Linked DNA regions of Notamacropus eugenii. The protein of the gene in region 1 interacts with the protein of each later gene in a pairwise test. Links are inferred from orthologs where the notes say so. Each region holds a gene or a part of one and is shown in the gene's direction. Other genes may lie near its edges.

The links.
Region 2: the proteins of MORF4L1 (region 1) and CAMK2B interact in binary tests that used the Homo sapiens proteins (3 or more experiments, as listed by UniProt). The two-hybrid records come from large-scale screens. The link is inferred for Notamacropus eugenii from reciprocal best matches to the Homo sapiens genes MORF4L1 and CAMK2B.
Region 3: the proteins of MORF4L1 (region 1) and ZBTB9 interact in binary tests that used the Homo sapiens proteins (3 or more experiments, as listed by UniProt). The two-hybrid records come from large-scale screens. The link is inferred for Notamacropus eugenii from reciprocal best matches to the Homo sapiens genes MORF4L1 and ZBTB9.

What each region holds. Positions count from the first base shown.
Region 1 is NC_092872.1:254,625,555-254,633,134, reverse strand, and holds the start of MORF4L1 (mortality factor 4-like protein 1), read left to right. Parts: upstream 1-4,578; 5' UTR 4,579-4,661; coding exon 4,662-4,701; intron 4,702-5,020; exon of another isoform or gene 5,021-5,152; intron 5,153-7,580. UniProt on the Homo sapiens protein: Component of the NuA4 histone acetyltransferase (HAT) complex which is involved in transcriptional activation of select genes principally by acetylation of nucleosomal histones H4 and H2A.
Region 2 is NC_092872.1:522,555,660-522,563,585, reverse strand, and holds the start of CAMK2B (calcium/calmodulin-dependent protein kinase type II subunit beta), read left to right. Parts: upstream 1-4,911; 5' UTR 4,912-5,280; coding exon 5,281-5,345; intron 5,346-7,926. UniProt on the Homo sapiens protein: Calcium/calmodulin-dependent protein kinase that functions autonomously after Ca(2+)/calmodulin-binding and autophosphorylation, and is involved in dendritic spine and synapse formation, neuronal plasticity and regulation of sarcoplasmic reticulum Ca(2+) transport in skeletal muscle.
Region 3 is NC_092873.1:89,448,746-89,455,852, forward strand, and holds the start of ZBTB9 (zinc finger and BTB domain-containing protein 9), read left to right. Parts: upstream 1-4,092; 5' UTR 4,093-5,801; intron 5,802-6,288; 5' UTR 6,289-6,757; intron 6,758-6,824; exon of another isoform or gene 6,825-7,107. Other genes in the region: SYNGAP1 (ras/Rap GTPase-activating protein SynGAP), read left to right, coding at 3,190-3,336. UniProt on the Homo sapiens protein: May be involved in transcriptional regulation.

The sequences.
Region 1 (7,580 bases):
CAAACAGTGACAAAGTTACTTGCTTAAAATCACACAGCCAACAAATTTACAGAGGTTGAATTTTTTAACTCCTATTTTCCTTGATCCATGCTCTTCAGACATTTTGCCTTAATACCAAATTGCATTATAATTTAGTTTCAGGGCAAACCTTTAACACACCACGTCTGGATTTACAATCACAAAATCTCAATTCTCCTAATGGCTATGCTTTCCCTGTGCTTCACATTACAGGGCTCTCTACTCCCAGTTAGTCTACTGCCAAAGATTTAAAGAGGCAGTCTTGTATCATCATCCTCTCTTTTAAGGGTCCATGAAGACTATATTCTTCACATAAAAACTAAAATGTACTCTTCTCATGGTCCTTTAAATTTCGTAAACTATCTTCAAATAATTTCATGTTGCAAAAATGTTACTAAAGAATAACCACATAGTATTTCTCATATCCTTCTTATCAAATACCTTTTTAAATTAAATTCTGTTATATTATTCATAGGAGCCACATAAAGCATTTTTTTCAAATTAAATTTCACTTATTTTCAAGTTGCTCCTTTAAATAAGTTTCTCTTTTCATGGGCAAAACACAAGACAGTTTTTAAAATTCAAACTGTAAACTTCCTTTGAAATTAGCCCAAACGGAGTTCCTCTTCTTTAAACTGCAGTGGTAGAACCCTCTGGGGATCAGGTGGAGATGCTGGTTCAAATTTTCTCTTCCTTTGTTCTTTCTCTCATGCACAGTTATGGTGATGCTCCTAAATTTGCCTGTACCCTTCTCATGCCATCTAGGGCAGAAAACTGAATATACCATTTTAAAAGGCAAACTTGTTTTTTTCCCCTTTGCTTTGAAAATTCACTGATACTATTTTCAAACTAGCTTCTTTCTAAGCAGCAAAATGACCTTTTTCTCTTATCTGTAAAACAATAAATCTGTCATTCTCCAGGGCAAGAGAGATAAAAAGTTTATGTAACATTCACAATTATGTTCTTAATTTCTTCAAAACAAATTCTAAAGAATGTTAACCCCAAATTCACTAGAATATTTTAGCATTTATAAAAATATTCAATCCACAATTTGAAAATTCACAGTGGAAAACTTACATTTTATTCACAAAATCAGTTTCTACTTAGTTTATGATGTCATAACATTATATGGTCTGAAGGCAATTATTCCCTTTTCTTTTTATGTTTTTCTCTCTGTGCTGCCAAAACTTGGCCAGAGTTTAGAAATGTAGAGAAAAAGCGAATGCCTTTTTGAAGACTTAGAGAAGTGTTCAGAAAAGTTCACATTTGTTTTCCCAAGAAAGAGTTATTTTACCAGACAAAGAGAAGCATTTGCCAGCAGGGTTTTTTCTTCTTAACTCTGTGCACACAATGATAATAAGCACCAGTGACAAAGTTTCCTTTAAAAAAAAATAGTGTGCATAGGTGAAAAGTCTCTTCTCAGGCCAAATACGGGACCCTTCCGGATTCTGATATATCATAGACTAATTTGGGTAAGGGTGTGCCTGGGTGTTGGCTGGAGAGACATTCCTTATCATTTAACAATCTTTCTGACTTCTAATTGTAGCTAGCCGCTTTTTACTGGGAAGAGTCCATTACTGGTTTATCAATCATTTGTCAATTTTGTGACCACCGGCTGTTCCACTTACCAATAATGTCACTTGTGACATTGTCCTGCCCCAACTCCTTTAGAATGGTTTCAATTTTCCTACTTGCTAGTTATAGCAAGAGGCCTGGGACTTAACCTCTCTTTCCTGCCCAGGGCAGTGAGTGGCCTGGGACTTTACTTTATGACTTCCCTAAATGGGCACCATTGATATACCTCTTTTGATCACTTCTTGGCATCTCCCCTAAAGAAAATAAAATTTCTCCATGGGGTTGTACTGTAGGGGGGAATTTCCTGAGTTTCCAACTGTCAATTATTACCAAACAATAATACTTAAAACACAGACATCAAGGCAAACAAACCAAGCTACAGCTTCCCCAAGAGTGTTGAGAGATTACCTTGGCTTGGAGAGGCTGAGGCTAGATGGGCAGTCAGGTCTTTAGACAAATTCTCTGCAGAGAAATCCCCCTGGTGAAAATGTCACTTGAGGGTTCTTGGAAGGCTGAGGGAAGGGGGCTAAGAAGTTACTCCAAGGACTAGTCTCCCATCCCCAGCTCCTTTGTGGTTGCCAGTTGTTATGTTTAAAATAAACATAATAAAAATAATCTGAAGTACAGATTTCCAAGCCAGATCAATTTATTAGTAAAGTGTGAATTTACCAATAATTAGGATCTCAGCTTCCCCAGCAAAGCTAAGACACCGAGGTGGGGAATGGTCACCATTTTTTTATAGTTTTTAGGGAAATACAGAACAAAGAACAGGACTTTTCAGGTGGGGAACAAGTGATGGTTGGTTAGAAAATAGGAATAAGGGGCTAGAAAAAAACCCCCTCCTTTCCTCCACTGCCTAAGAAATGTTCATTATTTGAGTCCACCTGCAAGGTTAGAGATGATGGACCAGATTTATTACAAACCAGACACAAAAAATAGAACAGGGATTAACAAGAGAATTGGATTTCTAAACTTACCTCATTGAAGAAATGAATTTCTGAACTACGTTCAGACACAAAGAATCATGACTTACTAAGTTACCTGACAAAATCAATTAATTGTAAATAGGATCAATTAAAAAAAGACAGAATCGATCTGATTATTTCTGGCAGCTGGTAGAACACTAAGATAGAGCACTAGGCATGGGATCAAGAAAAGCTGAGTTCAAATCCAGTTTCAGATCCTTATCAGGTGTCTGACTCTGGGCAAGTCACTTAACATTGGATTGCCTTAGTTTTCTCTACTGTAAAATGGGGATAATGACTGCACTGACCTCCTAGGATTGTTGTGAGGATCAAATGAGTAAAATGTAATGAGTAAAAAGTACTTAACACAGTCCCTGGCACACAGAAGGTGCTTAATAAATGCTTATTTTCTTGTGGCACTCCATTATTTAAAAACTTTGTTTGGATCCTCATTTTCCTATGGAATATGCACTTCTAATTCTACTGCAAGGTGTCTTTACGCTGGTTTTGCGTCTAATCTTATCTCACTTGACTCAGTTGCTCTAAGTCCCAGACAAATCCAACTAATTTCTGTCCCCTCATCTTTTCCTGCCCTTTTCTTTGCTGCAGTCCTTTTACTCTTGAAATCAGCTTGGGTGTTATAAAATGGCAGCATCTTCCAAAATTATTGTAAGCGAAGTGCTTGAGCAATGGGAAATACTTCTCCTTGGGAAGGATTTCCCTTCCTTCCTTGGTTCTTCATCCACTCCAACAGCTGCAGGTGACCTTGGTGCCCTTGCACAGCCCTCCCTCACTCAAAACAAAGTCAACTGCAAGTCATATCATCATTTCTCCAATGTCATGGTCTTCTTTGAAAAGTTTGGAGGAGCACAACCTGAGAGTAGACCAAGATGCCTGAGTGGGGACCACACAACTATTAGGAAGCAGCCCTGGGACTGCAACCTCGGGTCTTAGACTCCAAATCTAGAGTTCCTTCCACAGCTCATGAAGTCTTCTATTACCAAGTTGGCCAAGCTTCCTGCTTCTAATGAGATTTCACCTCCTTTCCACTTCTTAGGAGGAATTCCCCTGGGCTGTCCTTCTGGCCTCATCTCCCTCTATCTCCTAGCATCAAATAAAGGCTTGTTCGATGGAATCTCATCACCCCCACATGCCCAGCTTCCTATACAGTCCTGGGCGCAGCTTGCTCTAAAGGGTAAGGTGGGTTCAAATCCTGCTCCGGCTCCTTTCTAGTCAGGGGGATTCATGAACTAAAACCCTAGTTGCTATTGAGAAGTTACCTCCATCATCAGACTGGGAGTAACTTGGGGCAGGGCCTATTTTTGCCCCTTTTTTGCATTCCCAGCACTGCCCAGTGCCTGGCACAGGGTAAGCGATTGATACACGCTCATGGACTTCGAGATTATCTGTAATTGATCCTGGATGCGTCCTGCTCGTACGTGGATAAGTATTTGTATGCTCTCCCCCGTTCGGCTGACAGCTCCTCAGCACTCTGCACGGTGCCTAGGGCCGAGTAGGGGATTAACAAACGTGCTTTGACTCAGAGAGGACCCCAGTCTACCCTTTCTGTGGCAAGTTGTCTTCTTTGGCTAAGACGCGGGCTTTGCTCGACTTCACTTGAGTAAATGCGGGTGGGGCAAGGAGAGAAGCTGGAACTCAAAAGAAGGAGAACTGCAGGTTATCTCTCCTATCAGTCCGTGGCTCCTCGAGGGCAGGGACGGTTTCCTGCCCCACCCACGGCACGTACCGGGCACTTACAAAAGGTCTTCGCCATTCCTGGATTGAGTGACGTACTGGGAAAAAAAGCCAGCCAACTCCCCTCCCAGCATGCCTCGGGCGGCCCGGGGGCGGGCCTGCGCGTGCGCCGAAACGTGCGCGTGCCCGTCCCCCCACTGCAGTCCTTGGCCAAGGGTGCGCGCGCGGCTCTTGGTGCTTCGCGGCCTGCGGGCTTCTGGCTAATCGGGCCGGGGGCGGAGCCGGGCGTGACGCTAGGCTGGGCGTGGTGCGGGGCGGTGGTGGCTGCGGCGGCGGCGAGGACGACGACGACGACGGCGGGGGGAGGAGGCGGAGAAGCAGGAGGCGGAGGCGGAGAGTCGTTCATAAATGGCGCCGAAGCAGGACCCGAAGCCCAAATTCCAGGAGGGTGAGTGCGGGCCGAGGGCCCCGGTGGGGGCGGGTAGGCCGCGATAGAGGGGCGGGGGGAGGGCCTGAGGAGGCTCCGCTAAGTCACCGCGGAGCACCTGAAGCCGGGGGGTGGGGGGGAGGGGTGCTAGATCGAGTCCCCGAGGGCCGCGATGTGGCGGCGCCTTTGTTTGCTGGCGGAGGGCCGGTCCTGCCTTTCTCTTTGTCCCCGGAGCGCCGTCGCCCCTTGTGGTCGTTACCCGAGCTTGTTGGCCGCCCCTCCCACGGAAATGTAGCTTTTCCTTCAGTTGTTTATAAGCGCGCTCCTGGCCGGGGTCCGGAGGCTGCCGGGCCCCTGATCGGGGTCGCGCCCTTCATTTTTACAGAGGGGGAAACTGAGGCCCAGAGAGGGGAACACCGCGTGACTGCTGACTCCCCGAGCTGTTCGGGGCAGGGTCGCAGAAGGGTGAGAGGTAGGGTTTGGATTTGACAGATGAGGACACCGAGAGTAGTTCCCCGGGTCGGGCCTCTCGGGTAGGTGAGCAGGTAGCCGCCCCTCCCCCCGCCTGGGTCCCGAGGATCTGCCCAGGAGGGGGAGGAAGGCCCGGAACTCGGCCCCGGAGCTCGGCCCAGGCGGGGAACCATGGCCGAGGCCGAGGGACCTACCGGGCGTTTCGGGCCGCCTTCCTCCCGGCGCTCGGGAACATGGCCGCCAGAGACAGGGCCTGATGGCGGGGGCGCTCTTGTGCTGCGGCTGGGGCCCTGGCGTCAGAGAGATGGCATCGCCTTGGAAAGTGCGCTTGTTCTCTACCGTGGAAACCGTGCGGTGCAGCTCCTCGGTTTACCCTTTTGCTATACGTTAGACAGTTACGTCATCCCTGACGTTACCGTCCAGGACGGAGGTTTGCTTCAACGTAGCATAGGATCCTAGGCAACCTTGCTTCCGTGGCAGAATTCGTTTTTATATGTTATCTTAAGGAACTTTTCCTTTCCCAGCCAACATTTGAGAATGTGCTGGCATTCCGCACCAGTGCCTTTGAGCTGTGGGCAGGCCGTGGTTGGGAAAAGGAGACTAACACTTAGCTGTGGGCTGCATGTATACCCGAAGTGCAGGTGCTGTGATGCTGGAGGTGGGCCCAGGAGTGGTCCGGGAAGGAAGGGTCGGTGGAGGGTGAGAGAATGGTTAAGTAACAGCTGCATTTACATATTCTTTAAATATGTAATTTTAAAAATTGCTATCTTTTTCCCTTATAGCCACCCTATGAGGGATGGGAGTGGACTTAGGATTTAGTTGGTACTGGGATCAAAGGGATAAGGAACAAAACTCCCACTACCAGTTTTAGTTCTGTGTTGTCTCTGCAACTTCATTTATAGGGTGTTACTTAGAACACCGAGAGGTTAAGTGACTTTCTTGGAGTTAACCAGCTAATACGTATTAGAGGCAGGACTTCACCAAAGTCTAGGTCTTCCTGCCTTCTAGGCCACCTATGTATCTGCTACCCTGTGCTGTCTTTGTGAGATAGATCCTTTCAGTGTTGCCTTAACATTCATTAGAAGTGAAGCTTCTTGGAGGATTCATTGTTTCATTCATTGTACCTGTATCCCTAGTTCCCAGTGATTAGTAATATGCCTGTGCTTTTAGACTACAGGCGGAGAGGATGACTTTGCTGGCAGGAAGGCCTGGGTTCTTGTCCAGGGGCGCTACCTCTGTGTTCATAGGTAAAGTCACTCTCAGGTGTGCACCCCCTGGTAACTTGTTATAAAGGACTCACTTATCATTGGTATTTTCTTACACATCAGGAAAATCACACACTTGGAGAGGGGAAGTGACTAGCCTATGGCCACACAGCTAATAAATGAAGAATTCAGTATTCAAACTCTTCATTGGTTTTGGACTGCTTCTGCTTTGAGTGATGACAGTACTAGCCTGTTGGGAGTGTAGGTGGTGGGAAGTGTGGGAAATGAGTTGAGTAAGTTTTAGTGTAATCATGGATTTACATATTAAGGATTCTGGATTCAACTCAACATTTTTTTTAAAAAATTTATATATTTTTATTTTTTAGCATTCAATTTTATGAAATTTTGAATTCTACATTCCCCCAACCTCCACAAGATGGAATGCAATCTGATGTAAGCTATACATGTACAATCATATTAAACATTTCCACATTTGTCATGTTGTGAAAGAAGAATCAGAACAAAAGGGAAAATCCATGAGGAAGAAAAATACAAAAGAGAAAATAGTATGCTTCAGTCTGCTTTCACACTCTATAGTTCTTTCTCTGGATGTAGATAGCATTTTCCATCTTGAGTCCTTTGGAATTGTTTTAGATCATTGCATTGTTGTGAAGAGCTAAGCCTTCTGAAGTTGGTCATCAAACAATGTTGCTGTTACTGTGTACAGTGTTCTCCTGGTTCTACTTACTTCATTCAGTATCATTTCATGAGAGTCTTTTCAGTCAACTCAGCATTTTTGCATTGAATTGTAGGATATAGATATTTGAATTGAATGCACATTAATTTCAATTAAGTATTTCAAATTGAATTGTAGGATTTATGTACTATCATTACTTCAGTATTTGAACAGGCATCAGGACCAGACTGCAGAAGGTTTTGAAAGCCAGACAGAATGGTTTCGATTTGTCATTTGTAATCATAAACTCCTCTCATAAATGAATCTCAGAGCAAATTTTTTTTGAGAAAGTATGATCGATTAGTTTACAATGAGATAATTTACAAGAATATTGTGAGGGGAAAGTAGCATCTTTTAATATGAAGATGGACAATATATTACTAACAAAAATCAATTTTCTAAAACATGAGACTTATAAATTTTCATAATTCTTTAAAGTAAAATAAAAAGTTTGTATTTTCCCTGGAACTAGTAATATAAAAGATCAT
Region 2 (7,926 bases), about 270 Mb from region 1:
TAGTTTTCAACGTTCACTTTTAAGTTGTCCCCCTTCCTCCCCAAGATGGCATGCAGTTTGATATGGACTATATATGTACAATCATATTAAACATATTTCCACATCAGTCATTTCGTGATAGAAGAATTGGAACAAAAGGGAAAAACCATGAGAAAGGAAAAGAAAGAAGAGTATGCTTTTATCTGCATTCAGGCTACATAGTTCTTTCTCTGGATGTGGACAGCATTTTCCATCATGAGTCTTTTGAAGTTGTCTTACATCCTTGTATTGCTGAGAAGAGCTAAGTCTATCAAAGTTGGTCATCATATACCGTTGTTACTGTGTACAGTGTTCTCCTGCTTCTGCTCACTCAGCTCTATATATTTTAGAAATGAAGCCTTTATCAGAGACACTGACTGTAAAAATTGTTTCCCAGCTTTCTGCTTCCCTTCTAATCTTGTTTGCATTAGTTTTGTTTGTGCAAAACCTTTCTAATTTAATGTAATTAAAATTATCCACTTTGCATTGCATAATATTCTCTATCTTCTGTTTGGTTATAAATTCTTCCCTTCTCCATAGATCAGACAGGTAAACTATTCCTTGAAGGAGCATACATGCTAATGAAGGAGGCAACAGGGAAATCATTAGATACACGCAATGTATAGACAGTGAAGATAGAAGGTCATCGTATAGAGAGGGCGATAGCAGCTCTGGAAGCCAGGAAAGGCCTCCCCTAGAAAGAAGAAGGAACCCAGAGACGCCAGGAGTCAGAGATGACAAAGATGTCAAGATGGGAGATGGGATTTCACAGTTAAGAAACAAGCAGACTGGTATCAGTGGATCATTCAGCCACTTAGTCACCTGTGTTCGTCCTTTGTTGCCAAAGAAGACCATGCCCTCAGAGAAATGATGACATGACCTGCGCTTGACTTTGTTTTGAGTGAGGGAGAGCTGTGCAGGTCACCAGCCTCACTTCTCTTCCAGATCCATCCAGTGATCAGATATTCATCAGGATGACTGGAGATGACCCAGGATGAGGCAACTGAGGTGAAGTGACTTGCCCAAGGTCACACAGCTAGTGTGTGCCAAGTGTCCGAGGTGAGATTTGAACTCAGGTCCTCCTGACTCTTGCACTGGTGCTCTATCTACTGCACCACCTAGCTGCCCACTTAGTCAACTAGCATTTGTTAAACCCCTTCTGAGCCCTGGAGATACAAAGGAAAAAAATCCCTGCTCTCAAGTCTAATGGTGGAGACAACATACAAACAACTATGTACAGACAAGCTATTTGCTGCTGCTCTTGTTCAGCCATGTCTGATTCTCCGTGACCCCATTTGGGGTTTTCTTGGCAGAGATGCTGGAGTGGCCTGACATCTCCTTCTACAGCTCATTCTACAAATGAGGGTTAAGTGACTAACCCAGGGACATACAGCTAGTAAGTGTCTAAGGCTGGATTTGAACTCAGGTCTCCCTGACTCCAGGCCATCCTTTTTGTCCACAATGCCACTCAGCTTCCCAGACAAACAAGCCACATACAGGACACGTTAGGGACATTCTCAGAGAGAAGGGAGTAAGATTAAGGAGCAATAAAAGACTTGAGGCAGGGATGCCAGTTAGAGGCAATAATCTAGGAGAGAGTTGATGAGTGACTGAACTATGGTGGAGATTGTGTGAGTAGAAAGGAGGGGAGTTATATGTGATATATATTGTGAAGGTTGAAGCAACACTCTCTGGCAATGGATTGGAGATGTAAGTTGAGTGAGAGTGTCAAAGTCAAGGATGATACTGAGGTGGGGAATCTGGGTGATTAGAAGGATGGTGAGTATAGTTGACAACAATGGGGATGCTCAAGAGATGGAGAGAAGGACTGGTTTGGGGGAAAGAGAACAAATTTTGTTTTGAACATGTTGATTTTGAGTTCCCTCCAGGATATCTGGTTCTAGATGTTAAAAATGCATCAGTTGATAATACATCATGTGAACTCAGAAGTGCGACTAAGGTTATTATGTAGTCCTAGGAATCATCTGCATAGAGATGATAACCAAACCCATGGGAGTTGATGAGATCACCAAGTAAGATAGTATAGAGAGAAAAGAGAAGTGGTTTCAGGACAGAGCCTTGGGGGACAGCCATGGTTGGTGGTTATAACAAGGATGAGAAATCTGCAAATGACTGGTTAGAGAGGTAGCAAGGAAGAGAACTGGGAGACAGTCATATCATGAAAGGCCAGAGAAGCGAGTGCATGATCAACAGTGTCAAGGATTTCAGAGAGTTCAAGGAAGATGAAGATTGAGAAAAGGCCATTGGATTTGTCAGTTAAGAGGTCACTAGTAACTTTGTCCAGTCAAGTGTTCATTGAATGATGAGGTCAGAAGTCAGATTGGAGAGGAGAGTGAGAGAAGAGAGAGTGTAGACAGCTTTCTCAAAGAGTTTAGCCAAGAAGAGATCTAGGACAATTGTAGGATATGGTAGGATCAGATGAGGTTTTTTTAAGCATGAGAGAAATATGGATGTATTTTTAGGCAACACAGAAGGCTCCAGTCATTCTTTGTTAATAATAATTATAATAATAATAAGTAGCATTTGTAAAGTGCCTATTATGTGGCAGGCACTGTGCTAAGCACTTTACAAATATTATCTTATTTGATCCTCACAGCAACCCTTCAAGATAGGTGTTATTATTATTCCCATTTTACAGTTCAGGAAACTGAGTCAGGCAAAGGTCAAGTGACTTGCCCAGGGTTCAATCCAGTTTCATGGCAGGTAGTGATACTGTCTTCTGTGAAGTTCCAGGAGGTTCTTCTAACAGGCAAAGATTGGAGGAGGGATGGGAGTGCACTGTTTTGCCTGTGTTATTGCCCTGGGGGTTGGGGGGGAGGTGGAAGGGGGTCCTGTCTTGGGACAGACTGGCACTGGAGGCCCTGGAAGGGGGGAGATAAAGGGGCCTCTGCCTGGGAAGGACCAACCACTGGCATCTGGAAGGTGGAGGCCTGACTAGGAGTTCAACTGGCAGCAATTGAAGAGAAGATGCCAGGAGATGGATGCCAGGGTTTTGTCTCTTGCATTCTGTCATTTCATCTCATTATGCCAACCTGAGGAGGTCCTGTTTTCTGGGAGCAGGGCAGTGAGGCCCTTCAGAGGAATAACCATGAATGCAGTTTAGATTCAGGAGGAGATTAGTAGTGCCAGATGAAACCAGGCTTCGTAGGCTATAGGATCATAGATTTAGGGCTGAATGGGACTTTAGAGATCATTTACCCTAACCCCCTCATTTTACAGATAAGGAAAGTAAGTCTGAGAAGTGAAGACTTCACCAAGGTCACAGAAGTATTAAAGAAGAAAACCAGGATTTAAACTCTGGACCCGTGACCTCAAACCCAGAATTCCTTATGCTGTACTGAGATGAGCGTTGGTAGTTCTCTCTTTTGGCTCCAACAGCGAGTGTTCAACACTCTCCAATAAGCAGACTCTAACCCGGACGACCACCTCCTCTATTCTAACCTAAAGGAAGGTACTGAAGGCATTGCCATCAGGCATCAGGGGAATAAGCAATGGTTATTCGGTCAGAGTATCCAGGTTCCTATTCTTCCTTTGACACTACTAGGGTGACCTTAACCTCTGTGGGCCTTGGTTTCCTAACATGCAAAATAAGGGGATTGGACCAGATGGCCCCTGGAGACCCTCCTGGCTATCCTTCTGTGAACTGAGACTATGTTCCATCCTGGTAGGTGCAGCCAGACACCTCCTTGCTCATAATTTCTAGATATGAAGCTTGGGGAATCAGAGATCCAGCACCTGACCCTGAAGTAATGGTTTCTTGTTTGTGAAACCGGGTCAGTTTTTCTTCCACTCCCTCCCTCCCCCTCCTCAGCATCCTTATCTCCTCCTCCCTGTTGCTGCCCATAGCAACAGCTCTGGCACCTTGCAGTGAGGGACTGATGCCTGCAATCTGGGTCCAGGGCCTCCCTTCCAGTTGGGGAAATATATCCTCTTCCAGGCGTTGAAGAGTGGGCAGGTGGGTGGGCAAAGGGCCCTGGTAGAAGGGGGAGGAAATGTCCCCTCTCTAGAGCAAGGATGACCATAAGGTTAGAGCTACCCAGAGATGCCTGATGGTGGCTGGTAGGAAGAGACTGTCTGCTTTTTATTAGCTTAACCTCCTGCCCCCTCTATCTTGCCTCAGAGCTGCGTTTGCTCAGAACTACCATTTGTAGGGGGTGAGTGGGGGTGGATAGGAGTGGGTAGGATTAGGAGGGTGGCTAAAATCAGGAGCTGTGGTCCCAGGGATCCAGTTGGTGGAAGGACTCTACCTTCTCCTTCGGGGTTCCAGTTTGTTTGAGGGGATGAGTTAAATAAGGGGGCAGCTTTCCCACCTCCTCACAACCCTGCTGCTGCCCCTCCCCAGGGGCTCTGCCCTACTCCACCCTGCCTTTATAGTCTATGTTCAAAACCAAATCTCCTGCCTCAGCCTTAGAGAAAGGGTTTCTAGGTGTTCCAGGCATCGGAGTTGGGTCACCTACCCTGTCTGCAGTCGTGGGTGTCCTGAAGGGAGAAGGGGTCGGATTGGTTAACTTGGCGTTCAGTTTTCGGGTGTGAGTGTGAAGGGTGTTGTGCAGTGTGGAGAAGGGGTGGGGTGGGGGGGTTGAGGGTCCGCCCACGAGTGTGCAGTGGAACTACATATCCACGGGGGTGCTGGCCTCCTCGAGGGTGACTGTGGGTGGGGGGGAGGGTCCTGCCGGCAGGGCAGAGGGAGGGGTGGGTCCGCGCTGGGAGCATTTCCCCGCGTGTGTGTTCCGCAGGGAGGAGGAGTGGGGTGGGTCCACGCTGTGCTGTGTGCGGGTCCCCGCGTGCGTGGTGTCTGTGTGTGTGGGGGGGTGCCGCGCAAGGGAGAGGGAGGGGCCGGTCCACGGCGTGTGCGGCAGAGCCCCGCGCCTCCTCCCGCGTGTAGGTGTGTGGCACACACGCAGTGAGCAGATCTCGCGTTGCGCTGCCCAGAGCCAGCCCCCCAGCCTCCGGCCCCCCGCCTGGAGCGGAGGTGTCACTCTCTGCCCGCGCTGCTGCTGCTGCTGCTTCTGCCGCCGCCGCCGCCGCCGCCGCCGCTGCGGGGCTAAGCCGGAGCCCGAGACCGAGCCTGAGTCCGAGTCCGAGTCCGAGTTCGAGCCCGAGCCCGAGCCCGATCAGCTTGACGGCTACACCGCGCCTCCCCGGGAGCCCTGCGCCGCCACCGCCGCCGCCGATAGCCTGAGCCCAGAGCGTGCAGCAGGGGAAGCGGCAGCTCGCAGAGCCCTCTCCGCGGCCGCAGCGATGGCCACGACCGTGACCTGCACCCGCTTTACCGACGAGTACCAGCTCTACGAAGATATCGGCAAGTAAGGATCCAGGCGGCACCGCGCTGGGGGAGGGCTGCAGGGGGAGCCGCGGGGAGGAGAAGGCTGGGCTAGGGCCATGTAGGTGAGTCCGGCTGTGGGGGGCTGCGCCAGCCCTGCGGGAGGAGGAAGCCCATGCCTTCAGTGCCCCCCTTCCCCCCTCCCCCGCGAGGAAGCGCCCAGTGTCTGTCTGCAAATGTCTGTGCGTGCTTGCATGTATCGCTGTGGTGTGTGTGTGTGTGTGTGTGTGTGTCGGGGCGGGGGGGAGGACCAGGGACGCGGGGGTGTCTATGTGCCAGGGGCGGGGGGCGCATTGCGGACCCCGTGCACCTCCCAGTTCTTTGCGAGCTCTCCGGCGCCGGGCGTCCCAGGGCCAGGCGGACAGCGTGGCTCCTTGGGTACGGCTGCTGCGGTGACAGTGGCGGTAGCATGGCCACAGTCTTCTGGGTGCCCTGTTTCTTCACTGCCCCTCCCCCGCTGTCTCTCTCCCTCTCCAGCCCTGGCAGCTCCACTCCGGGCGCCCGGGGCTTATTAGGGGCGTGGGGGCGGCGGGGGCGGGTGCAGGTGCCTCCCTAGCAGCATGCAGACGTGACGCATTTCGCTAAGGGGAGGACCGAGGGCTGGAACTGGAGGGGGTTGGGGGAGGGGGTCGTTCAGTGGCAAGAAGCCGACCCCCCGCGGCGGCCCCGGCTTGCCCAGCTCCCCTGCCCGTAGCTGCTGCGGCGGTGCAGTCGGGAGGCTCCGGGGGCTAGGGCTGCCGCTGGACTTCCCCAGCGCTCAGCGCCTTTTCGGAGAGGATCCTGCACATGTCGAGTCGGGGTGGGGCTGGGGGCTGGGGTTTAGGGGCGGCACTCCACCCGCCGGGCTGTCCCGGCCATGTGCTGGCACACCGCTTTGCTGGCTTCTGCATCTCCAGAAGCCGGCAGGGGTTTGGGTGGAGATGCCCAAAGAAGGCCCGCCCATTCTCCTGGGGCGGCGGGGGCGGGGAGGCCGGTTGAGGGCGAAGGAAGAAGAGGCTGCGAGCTGGGGTGTGTTGGGTGTAAGTGCTAGCCGAGGTGGGGGAGAACCTGCAGGGTTCTGAGCACCCCTCCCCCATACCCTGAGGCTGAATCCTTAAGCTCGTACTCTTTAGCCCCTTCCACTGAGACCAGCTAGAAAGGATGTGATTGTGTGTGTGTGTGTGTGTGTGTGTGTGTGTGTGTGTGTGTGTGTATGTATGTGTGAAGTCCTTCCATGAGGTTTGCTCTTTTGCTCAATTTACTCCTTACAAGGTCTCATTCCTTGTCTTCCACTCCCGTGCTTCCTCTGGGAAGTCGTGGACATCAGGGAGGGGAGGATTTTGGACAGAGTGCCAGTGGCTTTTGGGTGAGGTTCTACCGGGTGCCTGGAGGCCGGCTGAAGCACCTGCTAGGAAACAGACAGAAGCTAGAGGAGGGCGTGCAGGCCTTACAGTGGCAACAGATCGCTCCTCTCACAGCAACCCTGTTTTAGGGGCCTACAGGTTGAAGCCGGCGGCGGAGAGACTGGTTTCTGAAATTCCTTTGTGGGAAGGTGTGCAACCTCATCTACCAGTATTCCCATAATAAGTTAACCCTGGAATAAAGACATAGCTTTTCTTTCTTTGGCTGGCTCTCCTTATTTCCCATATCCTGAGCCTTCCAGGCTGGGCTTCCCAGGGGGTCTAGCAGCTCTATAACATATTGCTCTAGTGAGATGGGATTCCAAGAGAAATAGAATTAATTGCTCATCTTCTTCTGTGGGCAGGAAACCCTTGGTGGCACTGGGAAGCCAAGGTGAGGACCTAGCAGTAGAAGTGAGGGGGTGGGGAATAAGAGGGCAAAAGATTTTGATTCTACTCCAGGCTTGGCCGTAAACTAGCTGTGTGACTTTGGGCAAGTCTTTCACTTTTCCTCATCTGTAAAACCAGCAGAACACACAAAGTAATTTTTAAGATTTTATGTGTCTCTGTCTGTGATTATCCTGGCTTTGGACTCAGGTGGAGGTGGGTTGGGAAAGGCAACCAATTTCCTTTTGCTCTGAGGTCATTGAAGCTCTGGAAAATCTTTTATGTACTCACCAGACTCTTTGGTCCACATTTTCTTTTCTCAAGAATACCTTTGTGATTGATACCTTGATGTGAGATACCTGGCTCACTGCTAACTGAAAATCTCCTGAGAACTCCAAGCGCTGGCCATCGGAGAGGGCAGTATGAAGGGATTTCCTGATCCTCCGCACCCTTATTAAGCTCCCTTACAATTCTGTAGCTCTCCTCCTGCATCTCTGCTTAAGCTTCCCCAGTTAGAAATGATCTCATTTCCCCCTTCAACTCCCCACTTTATGTACCACTTTGCTTCCATTGCCAAGATATACTTAACGATGTATTATTTCGTTGTATAAATACTTTTGTCTATGTCATAACTTTCTGCTACACTGAGGGTAGGACCTCTCTTCTTCCAAACTTTGTGTCTCTCTCGTATGTGTCTAGCTATGTGCTCAGTATTCAAGGGTACTTAATAAATGTTTAATGAATTGAAAGAAAGGTAGTGTGGTAGAGCTGATAAGTGAAGGCTTGGGTTCAAGTTGA
Region 3 (7,107 bases), on another chromosome or scaffold:
GGTTACTGGTTCCTTCGTCATAGGGACCATGTCGATTGCAGCAGGTAGGTGTGTAAGGGGTGGGGGAATTTTCTCTCTTTACCTTTTCTATGTGTTTCTTTCCAGACCTTTTTCTTTCTCCCTCACTTCTTTCCTCTCCTTTCTCTGTTTTTCCTCTTCCCTTCCTTTCTTCAGTGTGAGGGGTGGAAGGCATCTGAGGCTTATGACTTGATTTCCCAGTGGAAGTGGAGTGTTAGAAATAGTAGTTAAATCAGGGAGAGTTCAAGTAATACTGGAGCATTATCCTGACTAGAGAAGAAGGAATGAATGGGACTTGAGGGGGAAGGGAAGTTCTGAGAACGTTCCTAAAAGTTGTTTTGAAAGGGCTGTACATACAGATAAATGTCTGGACATGAAATCACTTACAGATCCTGGAGTACTCAGATAGACTTGTCTTTGTAGACAGGAAAAATGTCCTTATGAGATCCAGGAGTCTCATTCCTAGAGATTCCTGATGGATAAAACCTGAAAACCATGTAAAAACCCCCTCCCACTTTTGCCTAGCACATGCTGCCTTTTCTGATTGGTAGCCCTGCAGTGCACCACTCCCTAGGCTGTGGACTTTGTGTAAGAGACAAATGAGTCCTGCACCTAAAAAGCCACAGAAGAGTGATGGATCTGGAGTCAGAGGACCTGCGTTTAAAACCCATCTCTGCTGCTTAATTTCCTGTGTGATTTTGGGCAAGTTGCTTCTCCACTCTGGGTTTCAGGTTCCTCATCTATAAAACAAGGGAGTTAAAGTAAATGAATTTCTAAGTTCATTTAGTTCTAAGATGGCTTTCCAGCTCTGAATCTGTGATTCTATGAAAATTAGTGGGAACCTATCTTGTTAACTTCTGGCCTCCTGATAATTATTAAGACATTTTATTTTTATTTCTTATTCTGCAATAGAGAGTGAGGTTCTTAAATTGTTATTTTAACTTTATCTGTCAGCTCACCTTTTCTCTCAGTTATGGTTCCTGATAAATAAATGCAAAATAGGACCTCAACATTTAAAGGAAACTTGTAATGGTTTATAAAATGAATAATCAAATTATAACCTAATTTATCTACTTTCCAAATTTGGGTGTATGGAAGTGTATAGGGGGCATGCCTGTAGGCTGTTTCCAGCTGAATCTCCAGAGGAAAGATGGGGTTTGAATTCCCTTCCTCCCTGCCCCACTCCCCACACCCAGGATTCCCTAAATTCACTTCTCTTCTGACAACTCTCCAAGAAAAATACAAAAACTGTATGCTAGACACATCACAAGTTGAGAGAGAGGGCAACTCAGTTTAGGATGAGGGATTGGTGTCCTTGTGAGAGGTGAGCTATTTGCTCCTAGGGTAGAGGAAGGGGAACTGATCTCTGGGTAGAAGGAGGGATAAATTATACCTTCACTTCAATTTTATGATTCCTCAGGGAGTAGTCAGATAAACTTCATATTTCAAGTCATACTCTGCAAAGCCAGCCATAAATAATTTGAGGTTTATTCTGGACCACAGTGTTTGGATTATCTAGGGTTCTGTTTTCTTGCTGTTAAAAGTGAATTGTTTTGTGTTTGCATTAGGGAAAAGCCTGAGAAGAGGAATTTTAGATACTTCTTTCATTCCTTTCCAACAGAAGAAATAGAAGCAGTAGGATAAGAGCAAGACTGGGAGTTAGGTGCCCCCACTTTGACTGACAGTGTAGTTAGAGAGCAGGCCTCAAAGGCAGGAAGACCTGGGTTCGAGTCCTGCCTCCAACACCTGACTGACTGTCTTTGATTCTGTGTAAGTTCCTTGACCTCTTAGTAAGCTAAGGAGAGGTTCTTCACCCCGTAGTTCCCCTACACCAGTGAAATCACATGTCTAGCCTCTACCCTTCTTCGTTTTTAAGGTTAAACAGAATAACTGAAGGAAAGATGGGCTTAAGAAAAGGTGAGACCTATTCAGATTTCTGGAACAGTAGAGATTGGAGGGGAAGGAGTTACTGCCCTGGCCCCTAGTCATTTCTGATGTAAGAATGAGGGGGAGAAAGCCACTCTTTCCTATTATTTTAATAACATTTCCTCTCAATAGGACTGTACTCCTCAAACCTTCTCTTCCCGTGGGCAAACCTCCCTAATTTGGAATATATTATAATTGGGGGAAGGCTGGTCTTCAATAAAAGACATCTGAATGATCGAGTATTTAAAAGAAATGGAGTTTTTATTTTAAAATACATACAATAACGAACTAAGCTAACAGTGTTTCCTAATTGAGGCCCTTAGGAAATCTGATTTAATGAATACGCAAGAAAGAAAAGTTTGTTCTTTTGTATAGGTTAAATGTCTCCCCTGCAGTTGCATTTCTGCCATTAATTTGCTCAGTACACCCTTTCTTCATGGAAAAAAGTAAACTTCAGTCCATTCTTTGTTCATGTTATCACAAATTCTAAATCAGTAGGGGTCCAGATTAATGAGATTTTTTGTATAGCCCCCCAATACTGCTCCTAGTCACAAAATTCCTACCGCAGTTCAGAATGTATTCAGGCAAAGATATGAGTATTCAGGTGAGGAGAGAAGAGAAGGTTAGGTTAGTTGTGGAGGAGGCAGGATTAGAAAATAACTAGCATTTGCATAATACTTTAAGGCTTGCAAAGGGGCTTTACAAATATTATCTTAATTCTCACAACTACCTTGGGAAGTAGATGCTATTATTAGTCCTGTTTTACAAATGAGGAAACTGAGGCAGGCCTAGATATAAAATGACTTGCCCAGTGTCACATAGCTAGTAAGTGTCTGAGGTAGGATTTGAATTCAGTTTTGTCTGGTCTCTAGATCTAGATCTTCTATAGAAAGGTCATTCTGTGCCTTCTAGGTGTCTAGATTTCATAGGGTCCTTTATTCCTCGAGCTAGTTTCTTGGTTTGACTCCTCAGTTTAAGTGCCCTCAACTTGTATAATGGGATGTGGGTCTGGAGGAAAGGATAATACCTTCCTCTCCCCCTTTCTGTACCCCCAGAGGATGCAACTTCTTTGATGAAGGTGAGAAATGTGATGTATGGGTTGGGCTGAGGGAGGAACAAGAGGGTGAGTCCTGGGGTTGGGGTGGAAGTCATGGTTGTTGGGTAAGGTTGGTTGGTGGGGACAGAAATGAGGATCCCTTGAAGCGTCTCAATAAGTCCGCGCTCTCCCTCTTTGGTGTCTTGCAGGAGAGGCAGCTTCCCACCCTGGGTCCAGCAAACCCGCGTGTGACGCTGGCTCCCCCCTGGAATGGCCTGGCTCCCCCACCCCCACCACCCCCGCCCCGGCTGCAGATCACAGAGAACGGCGAGTTCCGAAACACCACGGACCACTAGTCCACCCAGCCTCATTGACATCTCTCAACCCTACCACTACCATCTCCAACCCTGGACCACCGCCTGCCAGAGACCAGATGTCGCCGAGGGACCAAAGGACTGACTTCTCTGTGGGAATGACTCCCACCCCTACCCTCCATTCTTCTGGGGAAGGGGCTGGGGACCTTCAAACTCTCCTTCCCTTTCTGCTGGGGCAATGCCTCCTGTATGTCTCCCCAGGGCACTCCTTTGAGGGCCCTCACCTCTCATACATCTCCCTTCCACTCTGGGGTGCTATCCCCATTTTCTGCCTCATTCCCACTCCCCTGAGCACCGGGGGACAGTTCCCACTCCCATCTTGGGGGGTGTGACACCTCCAAACTCTCGACTTCAGGGTGATTTTTTAGCTGTAACCAGAGCCGACAATCTAACTCTCCCCGTCCCCCCATTTTGGCCTCCCCTGCCCCCCTCGTTATGGGGAGGGGTCCCCAGATGGGGGCCCTACTCCCCTTTGATTTCTCAGGAGCGCCTGGGGGGGCTCAGCACGCACAAACTCCTTCTCCTTCCACCATTCTTCTTAAACTCACTCCCTCCCACCTTGACCCTAGATGGGGAGGAGGGGGCCACTAGGGGCAGGGAAGGAGGGGTTGGGCAGGGGGGATGGGAGTCTTCTCCCCTTCCTCCCACACCTGATCTGCTCTTGGCTGGTCCCAGAGCGGGGTGAGGGGTCTTATGCCCCAGCCTCCCCTGGTGTGTTGGGTGGGTGGGTGGGAGAAATGAGGCAACAGGGAGAGGTTGGGGTTTACGAGGGTGGTGTGTGTTTATGGGGACACCAATTTATCTGCCTCCCCTAATTCTCTCCTGCTCCCTCCCTCCTGCTCTCTCTCCCTCCCCTTGGTCTCTACTCCCAGGGGGAGGGGGGAACTTAATCTAGGAAAAGCCATGTCTCTCTCCCCCGAGAGTGGGGTGGTGTAGGGGGCCCCCTTCCGTGTCTCTGTCCCCTTGGGAGGTGGGACAGGGCTGGGCTTCCCTCTTCCCCTCCCCGCTGCTCCCTCTCCCATTCTCTTACCGCCAGCTCCACAATTTTTCGGTGTTTCTCTCTGTACATAGCTCTTTGGTGGGATGGAAAAGGTAGGATGGATGAGGTTTGGGGGAGGTGGGCCATGGGGGAGGAGGGAACCACCCCCTCTTTGGTATCCCCTTCCCCTGACTGCCATCCCCTCTCCCTGCCTTGCTCTTTTCTTCTTTCGTTTGGTATTGGGGCCCTGGCCCTACTGCCCTACCCCATCTACCCATATTATTCTTTTGTATGGACAGTTCTCCCACAATTCCACTCTCCTCACATACCCAGCCGGGGCCGAATTTATAGTATATAGAAGTTGTAAATATGTGAAATTTTATCCCCTGTGCCCTTCTCTCCTTTGCTCTCCCCAACTTTAGGCCCCACTTCAGTGCCCGTTTCCTCTCCCGTCTTTGGCTGTTGTAATTATCTGGGGTTTGTACTGTACATATCCAGGGTGTGTGTGTGTGTGTGTGTGGGCTGGGGGGTGATTCCTCTGTACAAAGCTTCCTGGCCCTCCCCTCTTCCGTGCTCCCCATCCACCCTTCCAAGGGTGGCAGACTTGCCCTACCTCTGGTTATTTTTTTTTCTTGTTCTATGCCCCAATTCCATTCACAGCCTTCTCTGTCCCTCCCTCCCCATCCTATTTTTCTCCACTCCCAGCCCCATTTCCTTTTTTTCTGGAGTGTGTGGTGAAACAGAAAATCATGTTTAATAAAAGGAGATTGTTCTTTTATTGCTGTGCTCCTGACTTTCTCCCTGCCCAACCCATGCAGGAACCTCCCATAGGAGTAGTGGGATCTCCTCATTGAGGGCAAGACTGGGAGCCATTGACTACATTATTCCCCTCTGATGTCACAAGCTCTGCTCTGACTTGACTACTCTGATTTATTTTAAAATTATTAAGGGCTGGCACTCTGGGGGAAGGGCCCTCCCTTTTCAACCAGAAGGGCCTCTTTTTAGGCTGTCTCCCTGCCCTAAATTTGGAACTTGCCTTACCTCTCATGGAGCTCCTTGTTTTCGCCCTACACATACCAGGGCATGTGCCGAGGGTGGCCAGACTGACCAAGAGGTAGGGGGCTAGGATTGACTGATAACTTGGATAAAGGGCTGCAATAAATTTATTTTTCAAAAACTTATTACCCCCACGTTTTTTTCTCTATCGTTGGTTGGTTAAGGGCAGCTAGGTGTTGCAGTGGAAAGAGTGACAGACTTGGAGTCAGGAAGACTCATCTTCCTGAGTTCAAATCTGGCCCCAGACACAATACCTGTATGACCGTAATCAAGGCCAAATGTTTTACCCCATTTGCCTCAGTTTCCTCATCTGTCAAATAAGCTGGAGAAGGACACGGCGAACCGCTCCAGTATCTTTGCCAAGAAAACCCCAAATGGGGTCACCAAGAGCTGGACAGGACTAAACACGACGGTTTGTATGTCTCATGTAGCACTCCTAGCATTTCGCGTCTTGGTGTTGGCAGCTCCTTGTAAAGACGTTCCTCAAGGTTCCTCTGCTGTTAATGACAGGGCAAACATCAGCCACAGCAGTAACTCTTCTTACGGCTGTTTCAAGGTTGATGAATGCAAGACTTGGCGGTAGGGCCAGAGTTTCTCCGCTACTTGTGGCCCCCCAGAGGACACCCGTCCCAGCCCTACCCTGCCTCTGACTTGGCGAGAACTTGTCTTGCTGCCCCTTCTCTTAAATGGTCACGAGCAGTCAGTGCTTTTCCCCCCCGGACGCTTGTCAAACCCTGGTGGCGGCCAATCTTCATTTTCTAATTTTTAATTTTATTTTCCCCCACTTAGTAGTGTTTAATTTTTCCAATTGCATATATAGTTTTCAACATTTTTATAAGATTTTGAGTTCCAACTTTTCCCCTCCCTCTTCTCTCCCCCCTCCCATGTTGTGAAAGAAGAATGAGAAAAACTGAAAGAAAAACCCAGGCCAGCGCGCTTCCTGCATTCAGGCTCCCCGGCTCTGTCAGGAGTCTCGGCGCTGCCCTGCATCGCCGCCGCGGAGAAGGGCCAGGCCTAGGCGCGGTCAGCGCGGGGCTGGGGCTGCACGCCGCACCAGGCCACCTGGGGCCCGCCAGCTTTTCCGGGGAGCCGCCTGCGCACCGTTTCCTGAGGCGCAGCCGTAGTCCAGGGCAGTCCTAGACCTCCCAGACCTCCAGCTCACTCATTCCCCTCGCACGGGCATCCCCTCAATTTCCAATTCTTGGCCGCAAGGCGGCCAATCCTAATAGGGCTTGTACACTCGCTGCGAACGCTGACTTGTGATTGGCGGCCGTGCCAGGCCCCGCCCAATCGCCTTGAGGCTGGTGTTCGGGCGCGGAGGTGGCGGTGCGTTCCCTGCTGGCGGAGAGCTCGAGTCCCCGCCCGGAGGTATAACTGGGGGGCGGGGGGGAGGGCTTCCGCGGCTCCGGGTAACGGAAGGCCGGGGAAGGGGCCGGCGGAGAACCCCGCAAAGCCCGGGGGGAGCACGGGATGGCGTGGGCGGGGCTCCCGCTTCCGGGGTCGGCGGGCTTTTAGGGAGGGGGGTGGGGAACCTGCGACTTCAAGGCCACAGGAGGCCTTCTAAATCCTTGAGTGCGGCTTTTGGACCGAATCCAAATTTTGTTCCGTAAAATCTGGATTCGGTCCAGAGGCCGCACTCAGGGATTTAGAAGGCCCCTGGGGCCGCAGGTTCCCCACCCCTGCTAGGACTTGGGGACAGCCGGGGCGTTACAGGCCGA